Linked DNA regions of Saccharomyces cerevisiae S288C. The protein of the gene in region 3 interacts with the protein of the main gene of each other region in a biochemical or structural test. Each region holds a gene or a part of one and is shown on either strand. Other genes may lie near its edges.

Region 1 (7,368 bases), on a different chromosome or scaffold from region 3:
AAGAATTTTAAATACGTAATCAATTTTTGTAGATTATCTCAACGTACGTAACTAAATGCTACCCTTCGTCATCCAAGATGCTGTTGCCCATTTCATAGAAACTACTTACTTGGTTTATAGATGTTTCGCGTTGCGTTACAGAATAAGGCAGCCTTTTTTTTTTTTAGATTTTCATTTTTCACATACTGATGGATTAGCAGACGAAAAGGGTAAAGTTAAATACATTCCAGTAAATGAACTAAGAAGGCTGAGCACACCATCCTCTTATGGAACGTTATTCCTAAGCATAGAAAGTTTTTTACTTGTAATCTTCAACGCGGGGTGTGTTCTTTATCTTTTTTTTCTTTTTTACACAATTAGACAAGTATATTTTGAGATAGTAATCACATCTACGCTTCGAATTCATCCATACCCACAGCAGCTGTTAGGTTATACCGACAATGGATGAATATAGTAGTATATATTCACAACCAAAGACTCCTCGGTTGAAACAAGAAGGATTTCCCGACTCCATTGGCGATCAACACGAAAAGGCATTGATTGATGAAAATGGTGAGGAAGATAAAAAAATGGCATCCACTGAAGGGACCACTGGTGATTCTCGCAGTACACCTTTGACTGTATCTATTCCGACGTTTGAAAATGTCCAAGCATTACCTACACCGATGACCTACACTCCGTTATCCCCAGGCAATCTGTCAATGTCACCTATAGATCAATCCTCGTTGAATATACCCAAAAGACGAAGTCATGCACGATTACTGGATGATATGCTTTCTGTTACACAACCAAACCAAAGAGTTGTTTCTGAACTTATTGCACCAGCTAATTTATCCCCCCAAAGGGTTGTTTCCTTACCAACAGTGACTGAAGAGGCTTTAGTAAATGATTCTGTTGATAGTGATAACTACACGAAAGAACCTTATTTTCCCGAAAGTAGTAGTTCTACCGAAAAGTGTGACGATGATATATTTCAGGGATTTCTTTTAGATCACTGGGATCGCCCGTTATTATGGAAAAAGGTCAGGCCCATTGGTTCAGGAAATTTTAGTACCGTACTTTTATATGAACTCATGGACCAAAGCAATCCTAAACTGAAACAAGTGGCCGTTAAACGACTCAAATATCCCGAGGAATTATCAAATGTTGAACAAATCAATACATCGTTACGATATAAGGAAACTTTATCCCGTTTGGAAAATTCTCTGACTAGGGAATTGCAGGTGCTAAAATCACTAAATCACCCATGTATAGTTAAACTACTTGGGATAAACAATCCAATTTTTGTTACTAGCAAAAAACCTTTATGCGATTTGATTATAAAAACTCCAAGAGCTCTGCCGCCTTGTGATATGATTATGTCTTATTGTCCTGCAGGAGACTTATTAGCTGCCGTCATGGCCCGTAACGGAAGACTAGAAGCGTGGCTGATTCAAAGGATTTTTACGGAAGTAGTACTGGCAGTAAAATATTTGCACGAAAACAGTATTATTCATCGGGACCTAAAATTAGAGAATATACTACTGAAATATAGTTTTGATGATATCAACAGTTTTAGGGACTCACCCATTTACTGCAAGCAAAATTTCATTGAGCTAGCAGATTTTGGTCTCTGCAAAAAAATTGAGAACAATGAGATGTGTACAGCAAGATGTGGATCAGAGGATTATGTCTCACCAGAAATCCTGATGGGAGTTCCCTACGATGGCCATTTAAGCGACACGTGGGCCTTAGGTGTCATACTATACAGCTTGTTTGAGGACAGATTACCATTTGACCCTCCTCCAAACGCTTCAGCAAGACAGCGTAGCAGAGCTACGTCACATCGTATTGCCAGGTTTGATTGGAGATGGTACCGGTTAAGCGATTATAAAACTAATGTGGGAAAACAGATTGTGGAAAATACGCTAACGAGGAAGAACCAACGTTGGTCGATTAATGAAATTTACGAATCCCCCTTCGTTAAAACGATCGCTGATACTCTAAGTTTTTCTTGAAATTTCCCACGGATGGGAGTTACTTTCGTTTTCTTTCTTATTGCTTACACCTGATAATCATCCAGCATATAGAAATTGTTCTTTAAATATCACATACAGTTCCATTACTTGACATTTGCAACATAATATTTCTGCTTTTTTCTCTATTTTGCATCCAATATAGCTTCTATCTGCTTACTACTGTCTTTTTGACAATGTACAATATATATCTAAGATAGTTACGAATAAAAATATTTTTATTAATTCCATAATATTTAATTACATAGAGGCAGCCAATAACAAACAGGTAAAGAGTTGTGTAAAGTGCATATATTCGTCTTTTATTCTAAGTTACTCATTCTAGCACTCCAGGTTGATTTGCTCCTCCTTTTAAGCTTTCACTTCCGGCTCTATTTCCTCTTCTTCATCTTCTTCATCGTTTTCTTTGAAATCTCCCATGTCCAAATTACCACCGCTTTGAGCCAATAATTGCTGCAATTGAGCCATATCTGGAGAACCAGCGCCACCAGCACCTCCCATCATTTGGCTGAAGTCCATGCCTCCAGCACCTCCAGCACCTCCAGCACCTCCCATCATTTGGCTGAAATCCATTCCTTGAGCGGCATCATTACCTTCAGCTTCAACTTCGTCTTGTTCATCTTCATCAACCCATTTATCGAAATCAGTTTTGATGTAAGGGTACTTCACCTTTTCCTTTGTCAAACGTGGCCAGTATTCAGATTCTAAATCCTTTTTATACAATTTCAAAAAGTAGTGCTGGCCATTAGCAACCTTATGCATTGTTTTTTCAGGTATAATTTCCTTGTATAGATCAATGTGTAATTGATAATGATGGACATTTTCATCGCCAACATGAGGCTTTGATTGAGCCTTTAATTCGATGTATGATGGCTTAATGGTTAACTCAGGGGCATCACAGTCTGCAATTGACACAGTTATTAAGACATAATTTCTTTCTGGATCAGTAGTACTAGACCTTTGAGCCCATGCAACTTGAGGGTTAATAACTTTATCGGACATGACTATTATGAATCGATGATCTTGGGAACTTGTTGTTGTAATGAATTGAGTCCACTAGGTTTCTCGAACAAGTTAATACATTGCCACCCATTTCGTCTTTTTATGCTTTTTTCCATGCTAATTCTTGCCGCTCCTCTCCGCCCCTTCAAAAACACTCGGAAGGCGGGTAGCATTAAAAGTCGAACAGTTTGTTGGTAACTTTTGTAGGTATATGTGTACCAATAACCACAAATTAAGTATTGATTATCACAGTCAACCTCTTTGTATATCAAAAATTATACTCTGTATTCATAAAAGGCAGTTATTTTAAAAGCAAGTAACGGCAGGAAAAAAATTATTAATAAGTATAAAAAGATTGGACGAGTCCGGAATCGAACCGGAGACCTCTCCCATGCTAAGGGAGCGCGCTACCGACTACGCCACACGCCCTATTTACTGTTAGTGTATTTCCACTTAGATTACTATAACAAGCTCTTTTAAACAATAAAACAGTTCTATAACAACCGATTTACGAAATTCTTCTGAGTAAATGAGGTCACAAATGAACTTTCTTTAACTTCCTCTTTGTCTCCATTCGTTTTTCCATGCTTTTTTTGTTTCTGTCGAAATGAAATCCTTGTATCATCTATTGGCTAGTATTCGTCTTCCTAGAATATTATCACAGCGGTGTAAGATGATGACATAGAGATTGGGAAACAGTTATCGGTCTTAATGGAAGCTGAAATGCAAGGATTGATAACGTGATAGGGTAATGAATGGCAAAGTATAGAAGAAAAGAAGTTAGAGTAATATTATCATGTAGAAAGACCGATTCCATTTTGAGGTTTCCTATACCCTCGAGGGGAACTTTTAGGATATTCTGTGTATCTCATACTATAGTCTTTAACTATGATTGAATCCGAACAATTATATTGTTCACGAAATACTCAGTTTTACAAAAATCTTGTGTATTTAACTGACTCAAAGTAGACATGACGGACGTGTGAATATTTAAAATGAGAAACGAGGAAGCGAAAATAAAGCAAATCTCACATGAAAACGCTGAAAGAAATGAAGAAAAGGTAAGATAGGATAATTGACGATTGGCATCACATAAAAGAACTCTAATGTTCGAAATTAAACTGAATGATAGAATAACTGAATTTCTGCGAAAGTTCAAGAATAGCGCGAAATCAAACGAAGGAATTGATGAGGACATTGATTTGTTCCTGAAGCGACACGCAATACCTATGCAGTCACTTCTTTTTTATGTGAAAGAGTATAGAAAAGACAGTGATCTCCAATGCTCTATCAAAGAACTTTTGAAACCTTTGGAGTTCGAATTCAAGCCCAAGGCCGTCAGAGGTTTACACTATTCAGAGGATTTCAAGAAAAAATTAGAGTTTTTGAAATATCAGGAACAAGAACTTGAATATCAAAGTATGGTCAAGAGAAGCAAGTCTGTCTTTTCACTTCAAGAAGACGATGAACTCACGCCTTCACAAATTAATAAACAGATTAAGGAACAAGTTACCACTGTTTTCAACGTTCTTGTAAGTGTCATATCGGTTGTTGTGGCCATTTGGTACTGGACCGGATCTTCAACAAACTTTCCGGTCCATGTTCGTCTTTTGTTGTGCTTGTTCTTTGGAATATTGGTCTTAGTAGCAGATGTGGTTGTGTATAACAGCTATCTGAAAAAACTCGAAGAAGCAAAAGTAAAAGAAAAAACAAAGGTTGAGAAAAAGAAAGTTCTAAGCAAGATTACACTGTAACTGATCATTTTATAAATAAGAACTCCGAGATCCGAGAGCATATAATTCTTGGAACTGGACAATTGTGAATAATGTTCTGTATGTTTATAATTACGTTTATAAAACTATCGTGTATGAATGTGAAATAAAAAATGCTCTATTATCCTTAATGCTACATAATATGAAGAAAAAGGTTGTAATGAAACCATTAGTAAAGTAGAACTGTCCTGGCCAATGAATGAAACTTCAAACCTCGGAGTTTGTTATGGGAATTAATTATGGCCTAAAACTCTCGACTCTATCGAATAAACTAGTTTCATTGTCTGTTCCATGAAGGTCAAACACATGATTGTATGAGGTGCGATTCTGAACACTTGAGCTGCAAAACCCTTATACAAAGCGGTTACACCTTCGATTCTAACAGTTTTGACCAAACAATCTATAGGTCCCTTGTACAAGTCACCTTTTTGATTATAGATTCTTGTCAAAATGACATCCCATGGGTTCATAACGACGGCAACACCTAACCCAGAGATAGTACTAGCAGTTAAATGTAATGCTGGGCCATCTTTCATCAGATCATTTTTGACCAAAATGTTCTTTGCTGTGTTGTAGATAGGTAGTTGAACAGAGGAACCAGCACCTGTCCTTAAAATTGCCGCATCAATACCTCTGAATAGACCCTTAACACCTTCGGTTTTAAAAATGGTTACTAACCCGTTCCAAACACCGGTGTAGTGCGTTTGTTCACCAATTTTTATAAACTCGGAATATGATTGAAGTCTTGTTTTCACCAAGAATAATGGAGAGCCAATGACTGCACCAATTATACCAGATGCGGCACCAGAAAAGACGTTAACTCCGACGCTCTGTACCTTATGTGGCTCTTGATCTGGGAAGAAAAGCTGATTTAATGATGATCTGATTGGCTCATAAAACCCTAATCTGGAACCATTTAGCCCAATTTGATAGATATAAGCAGCATTTAACCCTTTTTGCAGACCTTTTATACCTTCGTTTTTGAAAATTACCGCCATACCTTGGATTGGATTTTTATAAACTTTTGCAGCTGATGCTGACATTTCACCTTGAAGCTGCATTCTGATTTTAATCAATTCGATCGGATTAGTAACTGTAACAGCTATACATGCTGCTAGCCCACCAGCCACAAACGAACCAAACTTCGATATCTTCTGGGCGGCTGTTTTTTCAATTTGTTTATCTTGTTTAGAGTTGTCAGATGACATATTTGCTTACGATATAATTCGATGAGATGTGCTTGTGTCTGACTTGCTATAGCAATCTAAGGAAAACTATTTCGGATGGAGTTCTGGAGTGGGGGCATTATGGAAGAAGAAAGTATATCTTAATGTTGCATATAATCACATAGTTTATATATATGCAGTATTTATCATTTGACGACTTAGTCACAGCTTGAAATTTCAGCGGTGCTTAATGTTCGTTTTCTTTTTTTTTTTTTTTTCCGCAACAGAAGGCCGATTCCGCTGTAACTTAATGAGGTATTAAATGCCAGATTCGTTTTCGTGACCTCCTTTAGCATATCGGCAGACCCTGACTCGCAACTGGAATAACACCACATGCGAACAAAAGCATATTTTTGCCCTACTTAATTTGAGAGTGGAAAATCTTTCCTCGATTTCATTTTTCTTATAGCCCAATTGACGTCTCTGTAGGCCCTAATAGACCCCATCGGCCTAAGACCGTTTCCGGCATCTTTCGGGTTGTAGATGGTTCTGTGAGAAAATGTGTCAGTAATGAAAAATAATAAAGATCGCTACAGATATAAATAATAATACTATGTTATTTGCAGACATGCTTATGATCTAAAGACGGTGGAACAGATAGTTTTTCCTCTTACTTTCTGATTCTCTATCTGAAATTATTGAGGATTGTACCACAATCAGCACACGTGAAACCGCTATCACCGCCAGCAATGGGGTTTTTGGAAGCACATTCAAAATTAGATCCATTGCAGACGTCACATTTCAACTTCGGATAAGTGGTAGAAACTCTCGGAATATCATGCGGTCCAAACACCGTGGAGCTCGTACTTTCACTTCTTGACTTTAGGGATATAAAACTTCCATTGGATTTATTAAAGATCGAATTCTTGAAAATAGCACTAGCTCTTGATGGCATGCCGGAAATCACCGGGCTATTATTAGGATGCAGCTCACAAAAATCGTGGCTTGGCCTACTATTGTGCGTGTTAGATGGTGGGGTTGTGCTAAACTCATTATCCTCTGTGGAACTTCTTTCATCCATTCTATTTTCCAATATGCTGTCATTGTTGTGGTTGTTGATTTTACCAGCAGCTTCGAGGTGGAATAAATTGTATTCATGGAACTTTTCTATTATTTTTTTTCGTATTTCCGGTAAGATATCAGTTCTGAAAACACGGATTAGACCTTGACTGTCTGTTGTTATTAGAATGGTTCCAACATTATTCACAACGTTCGATAGGTTTGAGCTGAATCCTCCTGTTTCTGTAACTGGGTGATTAGGTTTGTTATCACATGTTTCCTTAGATTCTGAATAATTTTGGCCCATTTCTTTGAAGTACTGTGAAGTCAGTTCGAAAATCAAATCGTTTGACA
Region 2 (8,432 bases), on a different chromosome or scaffold from region 3:
TCTAAAAATGGGCTCATTATTTTCAGTCTTACCGATGATACCGCTATTGCTCGTCAAACAAGTGCTACTGTAATTACGTCTGTGGTTAAGATGCATCTGACTTGGTTTAAAAGGGAGTATCTGGAACCCCGGCTGCTCGTCTAAGGGGGAGATTGAGGAGGAACGAGGTGAAGAAATGCCATCCGAATTAGAGTGAGGAAGCGAGACGGGAGTGGGCTTGGTTATGGCTTCTGATAGAGATTTAGAACCTGTTAGCCTGTAATCAATTATATTCGAATTTGCCGGACGGAGGGCAGAAGGTTCTAGCAAAAGCCCGTTACTCTTGCTTCTAGTATGATAATGGTGGTGTGGTATGCGTGTTGTTGACAGATTTCTGTTGCTGCTCGAAGACAAAGGCTGACAGTTGATGTTATAATCCGATAGAACCGGGTATGACAGGTTATAATTTGATGCGTTCGTATTTTCCGTAGCCGTACTGTCGTGAAAGTGGCCGCCGAGCACGCTATGCTGCTGATGTTGTTTTATTTTGAGTTGATACGTCCGTTCGATTTTGTTCAATAGACCAGTATCCTTATGCAGGGTTTCCAAGAGAGCTAGTTTTGCGTTAACCTTTTGAACATTTCTTCGTAAGTGCCTAACATGCTTGTGGTTTAGCATTATATGTAGGTTCAAAACATTCTGTATTTCCCCTTTGGCACATTCGTACTTCAACCGCTGGGTATTTTCGCTATCCTTGTCCGGATTACTGGTGGCGGTGTCCATTTTGAAGGGCTCATCCATGTTGTTTTCCAAATCCTGAGGAGACTTTGGCGTGGTAACCTGATAAACGTTCGTCATCTTAGAGGATGACGATGAGGAAGAATTAGGATTATGATGCTGGTGCTGCAGTTTATCTTGGGCGGGACTCATCATGAGGAGATGGACATATACACAAAGTGTTGGATGAGAAGCGTGAGCCCGAAGAGTAGTGAAATGCCGAAGATCAGGGTGTTTATATGAACGAACACTAGCTTACAAATGTGGAAACGGGATCCTTCAGAGGTAAAATGCGCCTTCAGTGGCCAAAGTTCATCACCTTCCTTAGCACGGGTTCTTGCTGTCTGCTCTTCCTGCTTCTTCCCTGTTCGTTTTTCCCTCTTCCTACGGCTATGCACAGTGGCAAATGCACTGCATGTGTTTCTGTGGCGGGTATCCCTCAATTGCGGGTAACAATAAGTAACTCAACATCACGAACGACGTTTATGTTTGCTGTTACCACAAAGGGTAAAACGTCAATAAAAGCAAGCAATGTTATTCGTGCCAGAGAACTATATCTGGCGTACGTCTTATATATAACACAAGCAAGGGCAAATACGTGGTTAGTGGTGTAAAAACTGAAGGGATTAATTTACATACAACTAGATCCATCTTTCTCAAAAATGACTTCAGTATCGCCCTCGCCACCTGCCAGTCGATCGGGCTCAATGTGCTCCGACTTACCGTCCTCTTTGCAGACTGAGAAACTGGCACATATTATAGGTCTTGATGCCGACGATGAAGTTCTCCGGCGCGTAACCAAGCAGTTGAGCAGATCTAGGAGAATTGCTTGTCTGACTGGGGCAGGCATTTCGTGCAACGCGGGCATTCCTGACTTTCGCTCTTCTGATGGGCTCTACGACCTAGTGAAAAAGGATTGTTCACAGTATTGGTCTATCAAGTCCGGCAGGGAAATGTTTGATATTTCGCTATTTAGAGATGACTTCAAAATATCCATTTTTGCTAAATTTATGGAGAGGCTCTATTCAAATGTTCAATTGGCAAAGCCGACTAAGACGCACAAGTTCATTGCGCATCTAAAAGATAGGAACAAACTGCTGCGCTGTTACACGCAAAACATCGATGGGCTCGAAGAAAGCATAGGACTTACTTTATCAAATAGGAAATTACCGCTTACCTCATTTAGTTCACATTGGAAAAATCTGGATGTCGTTCAGTTGCACGGCGACCTGAAAACTCTTTCGTGTACAAAGTGCTTCCAGACTTTTCCCTGGAGCAGGTACTGGTCTCGTTGTCTAAGAAGAGGTGAGTTACCATTGTGTCCGGATTGCGAAGCACTTATCAACAAGAGATTGAATGAAGGAAAGCGAACTCTTGGTTCTAATGTGGGTATTCTAAGACCTAATATCGTCCTGTATGGTGAAAACCATCCATCCTGTGAAATTATTACGCAAGGCCTAAATCTTGACATAATTAAAGGCAATCCTGATTTTTTGATCATCATGGGTACAAGTTTGAAAGTTGATGGTGTGAAACAACTGGTAAAAAAATTAAGTAAGAAAATTCACGATCGTGGCGGCCTGATCATTCTCGTAAACAAGACACCCATTGGCGAATCCTCTTGGCACGGCATTATAGACTACCAAATCCACTCAGATTGTGATAATTGGGTCACATTTCTTGAATCCCAAATACCAGATTTCTTCAAGACGCAAGATCAAATTAAGAAGTTAAGACAGTTAAAAAGGGAGGCGAGCGACTTGAGAAAGCAAATGAAGGCCCAAAAAGACTCAATCGGAACCCCCCCAACAACCCCTCTACGAACTGCCCAGGGGATTGATATTCAAGGAAACAACGAATTGAATACAAAAATAAAGTCGTTAAACACAGTTAAGAGAAAAATACTGTCACCAGAAAACTCCAGTGAGGAAGACGAAGAGGAAAACTTGGATACAAGAAAACGCGCTAAGATACGACCAACTTTCGGTGACAACCAAGCCTCATAAACTTAACTATTAAAATTGAGTTAACGATAAATAATCGAGGCAGACACCCCTTTGCATAATATATCATCCGTTTAATTTATCTTCCATTTATATACTCATACATATACCAACGGAGATCTGCATGTCCGAGAATACAAAAAATAGTGAACGAAAAAAATATCACATCGCGAAAGAAAAGCTATCTGATATCTGCAACACGAAAACACAACAGTCGCGGCATGCAGATAGTACAAATTGAGCAGGCCCCAAAAGACTACATAAGCGACATCAAAATAATCCCTTCCAAGTCACTGCTTTTGATTACGTCTTGGGATGGCTCTTTAACAGTCTACAAATTCGACATTCAAGCAAAGAATGTTGACCTTTTACAATCGCTACGATATAAACATCCGTTATTGTGCTGCAATTTCATCGACAATACCGATCTGCAAATATACGTGGGAACTGTACAGGGTGAAATTCTAAAAGTTGATTTGATAGGTAGTCCCAGCTTCCAAGCTTTGACGAACAATGAAGCCAATTTGGGTATTTGCCGAATATGCAAATATGGAGACGATAAACTCATTGCCGCGTCATGGGATGGCCTGATAGAGGTTATCGACCCTCGCAATTATGGTGATGGAGTTATTGCTGTTAAAAATTTGAACTCTAATAACACAAAGGTGAAGAATAAGATATTTACTATGGATACAAACTCCTCTCGATTGATCGTTGGTATGAACAATAGTCAGGTTCAATGGTTTCGCCTGCCACTCTGTGAGGATGATAACGGAACAATTGAAGAATCAGGACTGAAGTACCAAATAAGAGATGTCGCTCTTTTACCGAAAGAACAAGAAGGTTATGCATGTAGCAGCATTGACGGGCGAGTTGCTGTGGAGTTTTTCGATGATCAGGGCGATGATTACAACTCAAGCAAAAGATTTGCATTTAGATGCCACCGTTTGAATTTAAAAGATACAAACTTAGCGTATCCAGTAAATTCTATTGAATTTTCCCCCCGTCATAAGTTCCTATACACGGCTGGCTCTGATGGCATAATTTCATGCTGGAACCTACAAACCCGCAAGAAAATAAAAAATTTCGCCAAATTTAACGAAGACAGCGTGGTTAAAATTGCTTGTTCGGACAATATTCTATGTCTGGCAACTTCTGATGATACTTTCAAGACAAACGCCGCAATTGACCAAACTATTGAACTAAACGCAAGTTCAATATACATAATATTTGACTATGAGAACTGATATCTTCGTGAAGATTCGTGTAGTATGATAGAACATTCCAGAAAAAAAATTCAGATTCATCGCTCTCTCTTCGCTTCTCCTCCTTTAAGGAATAAAGAAAAAATCACATACATAGATTAAGTAAATAGGATCTGCTAGAAAAATTATATATAGATCAATCATCTTATTAAGGTATCTTGTTTAAGCCCAAAAGTCTGCTCCCAAATTCCTCACTGTAGCTACTAAAACAACCTATACGCAAGAAAGATGTCATTGACAGCCGATGAATACAAACAACAAGGTAACGCTGCATTTACCGCTAAGGATTACGATAAAGCGATAGAGCTCTTCACTAAAGCTATTGAAGTTTCTGAAACTCCAAACCATGTTTTATATTCTAACAGGTCCGCCTGTTATACTTCTTTAAAGAAATTTAGTGACGCATTGAATGATGCTAATGAATGTGTCAAAATCAATCCATCTTGGTCTAAGGGTTATAATAGACTCGGTGCCGCCCACTTAGGTCTTGGCGATCTCGACGAAGCTGAAAGCAACTACAAAAAAGCCTTGGAGTTGGATGCCAGTAACAAGGCCGCCAAAGAAGGATTGGATCAGGTTCATCGTACCCAACAGGCAAGACAGGCACAGCCTGATTTAGGGTTGACACAGTTGTTTGCTGACCCAAATTTAATTGAAAATTTAAAGAAGAACCCAAAAACTAGCGAAATGATGAAGGACCCTCAATTAGTGGCTAAACTGATTGGGTACAAACAAAATCCGCAAGCTATTGGCCAAGATCTGTTTACTGATCCAAGATTAATGACCATCATGGCTACATTGATGGGGGTTGATTTAAACATGGATGATATAAACCAATCAAACTCCATGCCAAAGGAACCGGAAACCAGTAAAAGCACTGAACAAAAGAAAGATGCTGAACCACAAAGCGATTCCACTACGAGCAAGGAAAATTCCTCTAAAGCACCACAGAAAGAAGAAAGTAAGGAATCCGAGCCAATGGAAGTTGATGAAGATGACTCTAAAATTGAGGCCGACAAGGAAAAGGCCGAAGGTAACAAGTTTTACAAGGCACGTCAATTCGATGAAGCTATAGAGCACTACAACAAGGCGTGGGAACTGCATAAAGATATTACCTATTTAAACAACCGTGCTGCTGCTGAATACGAAAAAGGCGAATACGAGACAGCTATTTCTACCTTGAATGATGCTGTTGAGCAAGGTAGAGAAATGAGAGCGGATTACAAGGTCATTTCCAAATCATTTGCGCGTATTGGTAATGCCTATCACAAATTGGGTGACTTGAAGAAAACTATAGAATACTACCAAAAATCATTGACCGAACATCGTACTGCTGACATTTTGACCAAGTTAAGGAATGCTGAAAAAGAATTGAAGAAAGCTGAGGCGGAGGCGTATGTTAACCCTGAAAAGGCGGAGGAAGCCCGTCTTGAAGGTAAGGAATATTTTACCAAGAGTGATTGGCCGAATGCTGTTAAGGCTTACACTGAAATGATCAAAAGGGCACCTGAAGATGCTAGAGGATATTCTAATAGAGCTGCTGCACTAGCGAAGTTAATGTCTTTCCCTGAAGCTATCGCAGATTGTAACAAAGCCATTGAAAAAGATCCAAATTTCGTGAGAGCTTATATCAGAAAGGCCACCGCACAAATTGCTGTTAAAGAATATGCTTCCGCTTTGGAAACACTAGATGCGGCCAGAACCAAAGATGCTGAAGTGAATAATGGTTCTAGTGCAAGGGAAATTGATCAACTGTACTACAAGGCAAGCCAACAAAGATTCCAACCTGGTACCAGTAACGAAACCCCAGAAGAAACCTATCAAAGGGCCATGAAAGATCCTGAAGTGGCTGCGATCATGCAAGATCCTGTTATGCAAAGTATTTTGCAGCAGGCCCAACAGAATCCCGCTGCTTTACAAGAACACATGAAAAATCCAGAAGTATTCAAAAAGATTCAGACGTTGATCGCTGCTGGTATCATCCGGACTGGCCGCTAAAAATAATACGAAATATAACTTTATTATCTTGAATTCTTTTTTTACTGCTTTTTCATACATACGTACATATAATGATCTTCTCACTTAGTATACTAAATTTGTTTCATGCTATGGTTGATATTTGAGAAATCGGAACTTGAAGATAATAAGTTTCTTGGGCGAGGGAAAAAAACATCGGACCATCTTTCCTGTCGTTCTCCGGATCAGCCCTAGGAAATTTCTGGCCGGAACTCTCCTTAGAAACAAAAAAAATTACGTAATTGGCACAACTTTACGTCAACAATATTCATTACATCAGAATGCGAAAAAAAAAAAGCGAGAATATCTAAGCTCCATGACAACATTCGCTAAGCTGAAAAAATTAGGGAAATAAACTTTTCAAATTGCTATGATATAATTTCGTTTCTTACTATGTATTTTCTACGTATATTTTTACACTCTTGACTCTTTCCTTTTTAGTAATGTGCCTGCCATAAAAAAAGGGAGATGAAGGAAAGAAAATAAAAATGGTGAAAATTAAGCTTTGTTGATTACCTAATACAAGCTGCCTGAAACTAGAAACCATAAATTGTTTCCTATCTCGTAATATTTTCGCCACCTTAGGCATCAATTTTCTTTGGAGAAGGGGGGTTGCATCCCCCTGAAGAAGTGCTTGCCATGTGCTTTGAAAACTTTTAAGATGTTACTAGTACTAATAATTATTCATTATTTTATTCTTTTAATTTCGACTTTAATGATTCAATCATTTTTTTCAATTCACTGTTTTCTTTCATCAAGCCATCGAATAGTTTTGATTTTTCTTCGAGATTTTTGATGTATTTCTCACGACGCTGCCTAAACGCCTTTTGTGCGCTTCGATTTTGGGCAGCTCTCTTAGTATTTCTTAAAGGTTTGCCTGTTTTACCGATCAACTGGCCATCATTGTTATATCTTTCGCCTTCGTTAAAAACCTGCTCTGAAAGAGAAACGGAAACTCGACGTCTTTCCTCTGAAGGAAGGTTAGTCGTGGCACTATTTTTTCTCGTAGCTGGGGTACTATTTGAGGGAAAATATGAAGCTGCCGGTTGGCTAGTAAATGTAGATGCAGTAGTGTAGGAAGATTCAAATGGTGCGTGTGATGCAGTGGTGTATGGATTAGAATTGAAGTGACAGTTTAAATGAGTATCTGATAGTTGCGGTCTAAGCTGGTATGTGTTCAGTCTTGGTAAAGACGGAGGAATCAAATTGTTTATTGTCACCGGCCTTGCAATATGTGGGCCCGCAGTATTTGGAACATCCTCACACAATGCTCCTATATTAACAGAATTTCTTCTTCCAGAAAGATCTGTAAGTGAGCCAGTTCTGCTCTCATAACCAGGCTCTTCAAGTGTTGCAATCTTTGGGAGCTGAATTTGCGGTAGAGTCACATTCGAAGCAACTACCGAAATTGTATGCAAATCAGCCTTGTTCTCCTCTTTAATAAACCCTACAGGAGGGCTTGGCACGAAAGCGGTATCCGTCATTTTTTTTGGCTTTGTACTGTCTCTTGTCATTGAATGGGAAGCTAAAATAGGTTGAAAATTAAAAGGATGATTGTCCATTTTTATTTGCATTAACATTTGAGTAGGTTTTTGGTTTTCCTTCTTGTTCCAAGCTGTTATTCTATATCTATGATGAGATTAACGGCTGCAAAAAGTCGTAGTTAATCAGTAAAATTATCTAATGAATTATTTGTAAGCAGAATGCGTGAGAAAAAATAAATCACCCAGTTCCTTTTTTATATACATGAACTTTGGTAATGATGCAGACATCAACTAGTTCTCGAGTGAGGAGGTATCCTTATCAAATCACTCTCTCCCTAGTATTGAAAGGGTTTTACTCGCCTTCTGCTCCTAGTTACGATTTTTGCCTAGTACTCCTTCCTACCCTCTTCCTCATAGATTTAATGCCAATAAAATTTTCTTTGCATGTCACCATTGGGATCGGTGAGGCAACTCCGGTTCCGATTTTTTTTTTTTCAGCGCCGTGGTATTTCCGCTCGGGAAATCCCCTCCCGCATTGCGTCAGAGCTTATCGATGTAAAGTTAATTTCCCTTTTTTTCGGTTGGGCTGGAGCACTTGGTTGCATTACTAACAAATTAACGAACAATAGTTTTAAAAGCAAGTGCCTTAAGATTTAGGTCATTCCTTCGAGGATTTCTGGGAACAATTTAAAGAATAACAGAAACTTTTGCGGCCCTTTTCATCATCTACGTGTTTTGTAAGAATGAGATCACATTCCACGTAGCCCTAAACATTGGCGTACATTTCCACTCGGAACCTTTTCTCGACCCCTCTCCGTACGCCAAGTTTTACCTTGAGGAGTAAGTCGTCAAAGGGGCGTGGGGCAGCCATTTCTTAGGAGGTGGGAAGACATGGCAGTGAGTGGGCC
Region 3 (4,382 bases):
ATTAATAGATTTTAATACATTTTCTATATCATTGGAGAAGTGTTCTTTTTCATAAGATGTCAAAGAATGTGACAGAGTATTCAGCTCACTTCGAAGACTTATGGTCTTCTTCTGCAAGGTCTTATAGTCACTCGTCTCTGAGAGTTCTCGTTCGAGCTCTACACAAAAAAATAGTATACGAAAATATGCAATGTTAATTAGTTGGACGCATAATGAAAGCAGATGAGTTTCAACATACCCTTTATCTTCGCAGTAAAGTCCATTTATGCTTAAGCTATTTCAGTTATATTCTTAAGTATATTTCACGATTTCAGATTCTTCGCGTTTTGTATGACACACTAGACGCGTCGGAATAGTGAAAACTCTAAAAAAATACATTGTAATGTTTTACCCAGTTATTTCCATGCAGATGCCCTATTTACATACTTATTTATTCATTCGAATACCTATACGTTATATTATGTTTTGTTTATAACCTATTCAAGGCCATGATGTTCTACCTAATCTACCTCTTCCATTTCGGTGTCAGCTGGAACCTCTTCAACCGGAGCTGCGGTGGATGCTTCTGGAGCAGTCTCTGTTTCTTCATCCTCATCAATGTTCAAACCCAAAGAGATCAATCTGTTAATTCTTGATGCAAAGGAAGTTGGTTCGTCCAAACTGAAGCCGGAAGTCAACAAAGCAGTTTCATATAATAACTTAGTCAAGTCCTTGACAGTCTTGTCTTGAGCACCACCTTCGTCAACTCTCTTTTTCAATTCCTTGATAATTGGAGATTTTGGAGAAATTTCGAAAGTCTTCTTGGAAGACATGTAGGAGGACATGGAAGAGTCTCTCAAGGCTTGAGCCTTCATGATTCTTTCCATGTTAGCAGACCAACCAAATTGACCAGTTCTGATAGCAGCTGGGGCATCCAACAATTTGTAAGAAACAACAACTTTCTCCACTTGGTCACCCAAAATTTCTTTCAAGGCCTTGGTCAATGGTTCATATTCTTTGATCTCCTTCTCTCTTTCAGCTTTTTCTTCGTCAGTTTCTTCCAATTCGAAATCTTTAGTAATGTCAACCAAAGTTTTACCTTCGAATTCCTTCAATTGAGTGAAGGCGTATTCATCAATTGGGTCGGTCAAGAACAAAACCTCGAAGTTTTTAGCCTTCAAGGCATCCAAAAATGGAGACTTTTCGACAGCCTTTAGAGATTCACCAGTGATGTAGTAGATGTTCTTTTGGTGTTCTGGCATTCTGGTAACGTAATCAGTTAAGGAAGTCAACTCATCTACGGACTTGGTAGAGTTGTAACGTAACAACTTAGCCAAAGCAGCCCTGTTTTGGGTATCTTCATGTACACCCAACTTGATATTTTTGGAGAAAGCCGAGTAGAACTTTTCAAATTGTTCAGAGTCTTCAGCAATTTCGTTGAAGGCTTCAATCAACTTTTTGACAATGTTCTTTCTAATAACCTTCATGATCTTATTTTGTTGTAACATTTCTCTGGACAAATTCAATGGTAAATCCTCAGAGTCAACAACACCCTTGACGAAAGATAACCACTCTGGAATCAAGTCTTCAGCTTCATCAGTGATGAAAACACGACGAACGTACAACTTGATATTATTCTTCTTCTTTTTACTCTCAAACAAGTCGAATGGTGCTCTCTTTGGAATGAATAAGATAGCTCTAAATTCCAATTGACCTTCAACGGAGAAATGCTTAACGTACAATGGGTCTTCCCAGTCGTTTGAAATAGACTTATAGAAAGCATTGTATTCTTCTTGAGTGATATCAGATGGGTTTCTAGTCCACAAAGGCTTAGTCTTGTTTAGTTCTTCTATCTCTTGAACTTCTTCTTTAACTTTTTTCGTCTTTGGCTTCTTTTCCTCTTCTTCATCGACTTCTTCCAATTTTGGTTTCTTGTCGTCTTCATCCTTCTTTTCCTCATCCTTCTTTTCCTCGTCTTTCTTTTCTTCTTCTGGAATTGGAACTTCCTTTTCAACTTCCTTGGTGACGACTAATTGGATTGGGTAGGCCACGAACTCAGAATGTCTCTTGATAACTTCCTTTATTCTCTTTTCTTCCAAGTACTCCAATTGGTCATCTTTCAAGAATAACCTCAAGATGGTACCCCTACCAATTCTTTCATTAACTTCGTCTAGAGTAACAGTGAAAGAACCACCAGCGTTGGATTCCCAGATGTATTGTTCGTCGTCGTTGCTCTTTGAAATAACCTGAACTCTGTCGGCAACTAAGAATAAAGAGTAAAAACCAACACCGAATTGACCAATCATGGATACATCGGCACCAGCAGATAGAGCTTCCATGAAGGCTTTGGTACCAGACTTGGCAATGGTACCCAAGTTATTAATCAATTCAGCCTTGGTCATACCAATACCAGAATCTCTGATTTCCAAAACTTTTTGCTCTGGCTTTGGAGTGATTCTAATAAAGAGATCTGGTTCTGTTTCCAATTGCTTTGGATCAGACAAAGATTTGTATCTAATTTTATCCAACGCATCCGAGGCATTAGATATCAGTTCTCTCAAGAAAATTTCCTTGTTAGAATAGACGGTGTTGATGATCAAACTCATCAACTGAGTAATTTCAGCTTGAAATTCAAAAGTTTCACTAGCCATATCTTTGCGTGTTTGTTTGTGCTTTTGTTTATAGGACTCTATTTTCTATCAGGTATGATTTCTTGAACTCTAATACAGCGGGAAGAAATGAGGAGGTCACAGATGTTAAGAATTGAAGGGATAAGCTGCATATTTATATGTTTTAGGGGGTGGCGGAAGGACCTGGTTGGTATTAAGATGAGAATTAACCGCTCATAAAACCATGCGCGTGTTTTTCTTCCACGGCGTTCTAGAAAAAAAAGAAAAATTCAAAAAGTTCTGCGAAACTCGAAAGAACCAGAATTGTTCGAACAATATGTGACAAGCGTATGAGTTAATAATCCGATTAAGCTTTATTCCTGTTCTTTTTTACGTGTATGTAAAACTGGTTTATGGATTACTGTGTTGAGAGAGGGGGGGTGACACCCTCCGGAATGTGATATATCACACGCTTGCACGTTGGTTCATATCGTAACCACGAAGAATACAAATACGCACACGCAAGCTAAGTTATATTTTAAAATATTCTGTCATCAAGCTTCCAAATACTTCTAACCATCTCTTATTCTCCTCTTAGTAGCCATTCTTTGCCACGAGGAATAAAAAGTCCCGCGCCACTAATTACAGGAAAAGAAAAATAGGACAATTCCATTTGATGTCACCGTGGTAATATCACCATGAACGATGATATGAAATTTTCATAGAATAAGAAGGAAAAGTAATAAAAGAAAAAGAGAATCTGAGAAAAAATCGATGAGTTAATTATCATTTGTGTAAAACAAAAACGAATTGTAATACGATAGGCAAAATTGTTCGCGCTCTATCTCAAAGAAAGTAATTATTTCCAAATAGAAAAAAAAAATCTACATATACGCAGATATGGGCCTACACAGTGAACCGTTAGATCAAGAGGACCAAGACACCATAATACTCGATGCAAGAGCTGGCGATTTGGATTCTCTGAAAGATATATTTACAACTTTAGTCAGTCCCGAGTTACTTTCGACTTGTAAGGAAAGTGAATCTGATTCTACGGCTTTACATATGGCTGCTGCCAACGGTCATATAGAGACCGTTCGGTATATACTGGAGACGGTTTCTCGCGCAAATAGTGCCGAAGACTTGAAAGCTTTTGTTAATGAGGTGAACAAAACAGGCAACACGGCTTTACATTGGGCGTCGTTGAATGGCAAATTAGACGTGGTCAAGCTACTGTGTGATGAATATGAGGCAGACCCCTTTATTAGAAACAAATTCGGCCACGATGCTATCTTTGAGGCCGAGAACAGCGGGAAGGAAGAAGTGGAAACATACTTTTTGAAGAAGTATGATGTCGAACCTGAAGATGATGAAGAAGACACACAAACTGAGGGCAAGAATTCGGTCCAAATCACAAAGGGTACAGAAATTGAACAAGTCACCAAGGAAGCCACCGAGGCTTTAAGAGAAGAAACCGAGAAACTGAATATAAATAAAGACTAAAGTAAAGAGCTTGTTTTCTTCGTGGAATAAAAGCCGTAATATCCATTGAGCATGATATTTTATTTCTTGGTACCGGAGAAGATAAAAGGATGGAACCAGCAGAAATGCATTAATAAATACAAAAAATTTAGAAAAGAGTTACAGTAATAATGTATATTTCTCTCACAAACTAAGTAACCGCTTCAAAAGCGTATATTTTGAATGCATTGAACTTTCCATTTCATTACCCGCAGAGCCGGAGTCCTCATCAACGACGGAGTGAAAAATTTTGTAATTGCGAGAAAAAGTGAA
Region 4 (6,940 bases), on a different chromosome or scaffold from region 3:
ATACTTCAACTGAATAATTCTTCAAAAAATTCAACCTCACAGAGTTCAAAAAGGAATCATATATCTTTGCTATTTGTCCTTTTCTAACCTTCTCAGTAAACGAGCGATCAATCTGTTTGATGAATCTCATTGACATTAAATTATTTTTCAAAATTATGGTGTCATCAATTAAGATCGCAATATTTTTATTGGTTGCTGCCATATTATCATTGCCATAGGAAGAAGTGTCAAGACTCCTCTCTAGCCTTTTCGTATCGATTCGATCCAAAAACACATGTGATTTGGTTCCTTTTCTTAAATCGTATTCATAATAAATCATAGATGACCCTAAAAATTCTGGTATTGAGTGTAAGTGTCCATACGTGAAACTGTAATAAAAGTTTCTAAAATCATAAAAATTTTGCTTTTGCACAACATGCCCATTACATATTATCGATTCACTGGCCCATTTTGACTCATTGTCGGGAATATAAATGGTTTCAACATCTTTTTCCTTTATAGACAAATCGAATTTAATATGGAAGAAACATTTCAAGAACTGACAAAAATCATAAGCCATTAAGGTGCATCTAATTTTTGACTCAAAAATGATGTATTGAAGAGGAGAACCAAATGTTAAAGGTTCATTGTTATTATTGATACTCTTCTCAGAATTTGCAGAAATTGTCGGTAAACAGTTTGATCTGATCGTTGAACATAATGCGGACAATTGCCTTTTCATCAAAGAGGAGTCAATTTTCTCCAAATAATCAGCAACTAGAGCGAACATGAAGCTCAATATTAGGGATTGCATCAACCAAATGTTCTGATAACTGTCATTTACTGTTGTACTGCGACACCTTCTTTTAGTCTCCAAAAAAGAATGTAGAATTCTTCTACTCATCTCATACAATTCTATTGTTTGAGATTTGTAACCGAACTTATGCAAAGAACCAAATGTGGCCATAAATAAGGGTAAACAAACGATTTTCGAAATGGACAAGATTTGATAGTGCTCGTAATCATATTCTTTATCTGTCCCTTGACTTAATCGATCAAACAACTGCGCGTTTTCAGCGTCATCATACCCATCCTCATTAGTATATCGTTGCAAGCTATCCAAATCCAAATCAAGCAAGCTTGGGTGAATAATAGGGAAATGGGGAAGGAAATTATTCTTGAAAAGATCTAAATATTCGTTCAATTCACTCACAGCTGGCATTAACAATTCTTTGGACAGCAAGTTTGGATTAGAGTCCATGACACTCTCACTACTATCATGACTGAACTTTTCATAGTATCTAAGCACTTTAATGCACATATTTCTCATTGGTTCATTAAATAGCTTTGATTCTATGGAATGCGATGGCTGATTGTTGTTCACAGTGGAGGCCGGCAGAGCTCTTGATATTTTCGATAACGTTAAACAATCTAACCCATAAAAAGTATAGTTGCCGCTATCTGGCTTTTCTTTCCTGTTTGACGTTGATAAAAAGTCTTCCAGGGATCGTTTAGACTCTTCTCCTTTCAAATATTGACTGAATATGGCTTGAACATCTCTGGTCATATTACATAGCTTATCCAGATCATCTTCGCGATTGGAAGGATGATCGAGTCCGAAAGAAATCAACATATCGTCATTGGTCCCCTCTTTATTCTTATAAATTAACTTATGAGGAGAAATTGGAGAGTTTGATAGGTTCAAATGGGAAAGGTCAATCTCATTTGACGTGGCGGTAGCACTTACGCTATCATCATGTAAAAGTTCAAATTCTTTTAAAACGGCAGTGGTCTCTAACAAATCATTACCTAAAGTATCATTATCCAGCAGTTCTTGAAAATCGACGAAATCAGGTTGGTTGTCTGATACCTTATTGTTATTGCTATTATTATCTATAGCAACAGTCCAAGAGGAGGACCTTGAATCCTTCAAATGATGTATAGTCGATTTAAAATCTGGGACGATTAATTTAGTGTCGTTTAATTCAGAGTTCATTGGAGAAGTTTCATCACTTTCAGATACTGAAAACAAATGATCATTATAGGCTTTTATCCAGTACGACGACGACAATAAGTCTGCGTCATTAAATGAAGCGTTCTTAGAATTCGTGTTAGCGCCGACATATGCGCGGGTTGGTGAGCCGGAAGAATATGTGTAGTTATTTGCTGATTCGGGCAATTTATAATCCAAATTCATTGTTGATCCAGAAGAATCAGAACGGTTTAATGCTATATTGAAATTGGAATCTAGATTTAGGTTTAAATCTAGATTCATATTCAGGTCAAACGAAGAGTCAAGTTCAGGATTCTTCAAGTCAAGTGGAACTAATTCAGGCGTAGAAAATTTAACACGATCCTTTGGATGTTGTTCTAGCGAAGATTGGTCGGGCAAAGCATAGCTGGATGCTGATTGTGCGCTAAATGAAGCCCTGCGCGTCAGTTTTTTCAAGTACTTACGTTTAACATTAGCTTCAGGGCTTGCTTTTCTTCTTGTATTGGCAGTAGTGCGATTCAAAAAATTACCATTATCTGGAGTACCATAGGTTGGAGTTTGAAACTTGACTGAGGATGCAGAATTTTTCCGAGCTTTAGTTATAGTTCTCGACACTTTCTTGGTATGGGAAATCGTTTCCCCTAAATTACCACTATGGATTTTTTGAGCATGCCTGATCAGTAAGTCCCTCCTAGTAAAGCATCTGTTGCAGAGGCCACAGGGATAAGGTTTTTCATTTGTATGCGATCTGTAATGTCTTTTCAAGTGCTCTTGTCTTGCGAACGCTCTCGTACAAACCTCGCAAACAAATGACCTTAGTTTCCCACTGGGGGTTCTACCATTAAGCCTTAAATTTTCGGGCAACTTGTCCAGTTGCTTGTTAATCTTGGAGTTCATATTATTATTTGTGGTAATGATCTTTCCATCTGGCGTCCTCTGTATCACAGAGAAAGTGTTTGAGTTTTCTCTGGAAGCTGATGATGACATTAATAAAATCGGTGAATCATCCGTTTCCATTTCTATTTCTTGTTTCTCATTATTGAAGCCGTTAGAAAAGCACGAATTCAAGTCAACAACGGGAAAGCCTGAACAATCGTTTGGTTTTTCTACGTTAGCCATAGTAATAGAGTATGATTATTTTTTTTATATTTTTTTTTTTTGGAAAACAAAATTCTTATAGTAAAGTAAGGAATAGTAGCAGAATATTTTTCTGAAGTGTTTATAATAAAGGGAGAACCGGGAAAGTAGCAAAATGATTGGTTAATTTATGCAAATCAATCTTATACTTCCAACGAATAAGAGGGAGTATATCAAAACAGAGTAACAATAAACTTTTGCTATGACACCTTTTCTTTCTTTCAAAGATAAAAGAATAAGGCTTTTCTATAGTAGTCGAGCAAATGTTGGAATAAGGAGGTATGGAATTTTGAAAATAGCCTGAGAAATTCAGATCAATGATATATAACTGTTGTCTTCAAAAGGTCTTCAAGGGAAGAAAATTTCCGATCGGAAGTCCAGAATAAATACCACAAGTATAGCACAATAAACAACAGCACAACAACAATAATAACAACACCTGTAGCGAAAACGTTTTCCTATTTTTAAGGCGTTGTTCTTTGAAAACCTGTGGCGAAGTAAAACATGAAAACAAATGAAAACACCGCCAAACCAAGAAAAGAACAACGAAAAAATATCACTTTTATTTAGTTCACAACGGCTAACTATCGACGTTCACCCTTCCTCAGTCTATCACATCGTCCTTAGCTCGAACAACGCCGATAGGCATCAAGTTACATTGAGCTTTACTGCACGTTCCCGCATGATGCCATTGACTAGGGCCCGCCCTTTCGGCAATCATTCTAGCATGTTCCGCATGTTCCTTGACGCCATGGTCATCCTTGCCGTCGCCTCCGGCGTTTCCCTTCCCCCTCAGCTGCCAGGGCGCCGTTCACACAACGCAAGCACACCCGGCGCCAAAAAACCGGGGAAAGACCACGGCGCTATGGTTTCGGAGTTTCCCGCCAATGGCGTTATAACTCCAGTTTATTTTCCTCTTCGTTGGTAAATTCCGGGGAGGCCGTCGGCGCCGGGCCGCAAAAGTAGGACGGGCGATCGGAGCCGCGCGGATGCCGTACAGAACTACATGATGTATTGCATTCTATCTATGCCAATAGTGGTATGTAAATATTTACGCATACTTTTATTGAAACATGAGAACAATATATCTTATAATACGGCACCAAAGCCGAATGTCAATTTAATAGAACGCACGTAGTATTCTTCAAAATTAGCGCGCACGCGATCTTCCTCGCCAACGGGTATGCCAGTCCACTTCACCTGTAATTTGGTTTCATGGAATTCTTGCGACTCATGGAAAGTCATTTCGATAGTAGAGTTGAAAGGGGCAGACCAATCCTTGAGTTTCCAGTGGAAAACAAGTTTCTTGTCCTTTTCGCATGAAACCAACTCGCTGATCACGTTGCCGCCAAAGAGCTCGAATTTTTCTTTGGTCTCCAGCTTCGGTCCGCTGTTGAAAAATTGTGCTGATCTGGTCCAGGCCAATATGCGTTGCTTATCAAGGAACGTTTCGTAGAGCTCGGAGGAAGGCACATTAAAAGTTGGTTCTAAATAAATAGATGTACTATTGCCGCTTCCGTTTTGGGGGACTTTGTTGGTGCTGGAGACTGGTGCTGAAGTTGAAGTAGAAGAGGGAAGTGCATTCTTTTTTGGCTTTGAAGCGGAGTCCTTGATTTCGGTAAAGCTACTTTTTTGGTTACCTCTTGTGTAGTTAGATTTCACCTGAGATTCGGGCACCTGAATGTCATTACCATGGGTGGCCAGCAAATCCTTGCCAAATTGTTGGAAAATTTGTCTCAACTTGGGCAATAACTCGGATCTAATTAGTGGCTTGGCTTCACTCAATTCGCTAGTCTCCTTAAATATAGATATGTCAAATTGATAGCTTGAGGCCTCGCTATCGAAGGCAACTTCAGGAACGTTAATGCTACCCTCGAATGGCAATGCCGATCCGTCCTTAGAGTCCACGTGTCCCTCTATTAACACCGTGATTTTCAAATCAAACAAAGATATAACCTTCCCCTTACGCTGATTAACTTCACAATCACCTTCAATGGACGAAACAGACTTGATTTTGGCATACTTTTTATCCTTCACCGAACCGGCCTCCACTCCAACCAGTTTCTGTTTGAAATACTCCTTGGCCCATCCGATGCAGTTCTTATCGACCCAGTGCCAGTTATTTGGGTTATTCACGACCATATTGATATATTGTTGCTACTATAAACGATTAAGAATAAGACTGAAAGGAATAACGAAAGTAAGGAATTGCCTCTCTATCAAAGTTTCCTATACGAGTGAACTTTCAAAATGCCTGCAGTTCTTTTTGTATTTGCATTACACATAAAAAAAAAAAAAAAAAAAAAAAAAAAAAAAAACTAACTACTTTTATATAATACAATTACAGATATGTTCATTCTCCCACATACAATGCGGTAAGTAGGCATTTTGAATCCATCTTGGTTTGTTGCGAGGCTTCTTTGTTTTTTCTTCTAGAAAATTCCATTGTGAACTGGGTAACACAATATCCCTTTTTTTTTTTTTGGGAATCTATTTCGAATATTCTGCACTTTTAAATTTTCTATCATAACGAAAAATCAGAGAAATTTGTTGTTGTCATCGATGGTAATCCGCCACCGAGGAAATCTAGCATCATATGCATACCACCACCTCCACTGTATTCGTCAACATCTTGAGGCAGCACCTGCGTGACTCCTTCGAGAAACCAGACTTTATCCTTGACCTCTGTGGCAAATCCTCGAAGTAGTTTATAATATGATCTCATAATTCTCATTGCACCTAAATCACCTGTCATCAGTAATGCCAGGAATGTCTTGTCTAGCAATGCTGGAAATGTAAATACCCGCAGAATAAAATCACCCTGGTTTTTTTCACGGTGCAATTTATCTAAATAAGCTAGTGTTATCAAATATGGCGAATCTAAGCCGACAGGATACAAATCGGCAATACTTTCATCAAAACATACCAATTCAGTAATTGTTCCAACATCAGGGTTAATGACATCGCCTAAATCGCTAAGATCAACAGATATAATGTTATGAAATTTAGATCTTTCACTCAAAGGCCACACAGCGGTTAAAATTGTTGCAGCACCTTTGACATGAAAGATCCAAGCGCTTGGTGACATGCTATTCAAACTTTGGTTTCCTACAGTGCCGTTACCACTAGCATTTGCTAACGAGTCCATGATTAGTATCAGGGCGCTGGCAACTAGCGCATCGGTGTTATTCTCAGATATTTCTAAAACAGCTTCTCTTAATAATCTCAGAGCGTCTAGGCGGTGAGATGAAACGTATTGCTCCAGTCCAGTTTCAGTCCTCGAAAGATGGGTGGCACTGAATGCCAACAAAGCGTGCATTAAAAATGGATAGTCAAATGCTAACTCCGGTATGTAGTCCCTCCATATTTCAGGCCCAGAAACTTTGGCCGCTGTAATCGTAGGCCAGACCTTTGTGCAATAATGATGAAACAGTTTCATGTCTATCAGGTTCAGATTGCCTTTGGTAGAAAGATCTAAAAGCTTAGCGATGTTACTGGTACCAGCAGAAACAGAACTTCGGTCAGCTTCGTTATTAATTTTTGAGGTCATGTCTTGCCGCGATGCATCGTCTTCATTCTCTGTCTGTGATGTTTGTAAACTTATCGTTGGTTCGTTGTTCTCCAAGGCTGCTTTTGTCAGATTTCCTAGAGAACTTATAGAATCTTGCATCTCTTGCCTATCATTCAACACTGCAGAGGGCGTTGATGGAGAAATGTTGCTGTTTCTGTTCATGTTTCTTTCAATCATTGATATAGGCGCCATTGTCGAAACCGCATCAGCCGCCTGAGGTTCCATAATACTAGCACTTCCCCCTTGGGCGTTATTCGATG

Evidence for each region.
Region 1: the proteins of HSP82 (region 3) and SBA1 form a complex in vitro, tested with the Saccharomyces cerevisiae proteins (10 studies listed by BioGRID, with this or other methods).
Region 2: the proteins of HSP82 (region 3) and STI1 form a complex in vitro, tested with the Saccharomyces cerevisiae proteins (13 studies listed by BioGRID, with this or other methods).
Region 4: the proteins of HSP82 (region 3) and AHA1 form a complex in vitro, tested with the Saccharomyces cerevisiae proteins (7 studies listed by BioGRID).

What each region holds. Positions count from the first base shown.
Region 1 is NC_001143.9:215,973-223,340, reverse strand, and holds SBA1 (Hsp90 cochaperone SBA1), read right to left. Parts: upstream 3,018-7,368; coding exon 2,367-3,017; downstream 1-2,366. Other genes in the region: serine/threonine protein kinase PRR1, read left to right, coding at 441-1,997; VPH2 (Vph2p), read left to right, coding at 4,124-4,771; OAC1 (Oac1p), read right to left, coding at 5,023-5,997; DGR2 (Dgr2p), read right to left, coding at 6,641-7,368. UniProt on the Saccharomyces cerevisiae protein: Acts as a co-chaperone.
Region 2 is NC_001147.6:376,801-385,232, forward strand, and holds STI1 (Hsp90 cochaperone STI1), read left to right. Parts: upstream 1-4,252; coding exon 4,253-6,022; downstream 6,023-8,432. Other genes in the region: AHC1 (Ahc1p), read right to left, coding at 1-912; NAD-dependent histone deacetylase HST3, read left to right, coding at 1,419-2,762; BUB3 (Bub3p), read left to right, coding at 2,981-4,006; CIN5 (Cin5p), read right to left, coding at 6,733-7,620; YOR029W (uncharacterized protein), read left to right, coding at 7,800-8,135. UniProt on the Saccharomyces cerevisiae protein: May play a role in mediating the heat shock response of some HSP70 genes. It is required for optimal growth of yeast cells at both low and high temperature.
Region 3 is NC_001148.4:95,996-100,377, forward strand, and holds HSP82 (Hsp90 family chaperone HSP82), read right to left. Parts: upstream 2,631-4,382; coding exon 501-2,630; downstream 1-500. Other genes in the region: GTPase-activating protein CIN2, read right to left, coding at 1-158, 239-263; YAR1 (Yar1p), read left to right, coding at 3,489-4,091. UniProt on the Saccharomyces cerevisiae protein: Molecular chaperone that promotes the maturation, structural maintenance and proper regulation of specific target proteins involved in cell cycle control and signal transduction. Undergoes a functional cycle that is linked to its ATPase activity.
Region 4 is NC_001136.10:891,186-898,125, reverse strand, and holds AHA1 (Aha1p), read right to left. Parts: upstream 5,252-6,940; coding exon 4,199-5,251; downstream 1-4,198. Other genes in the region: DNA-binding transcription factor ADR1, read right to left, coding at 1-3,091; YDR215C (uncharacterized protein), read left to right, coding at 3,624-4,037; UPC2 (Upc2p), read right to left, coding at 5,634-6,940. UniProt on the Saccharomyces cerevisiae protein: Co-chaperone that binds to the molecular chaperone HSP82 and stimulates its ATPase activity.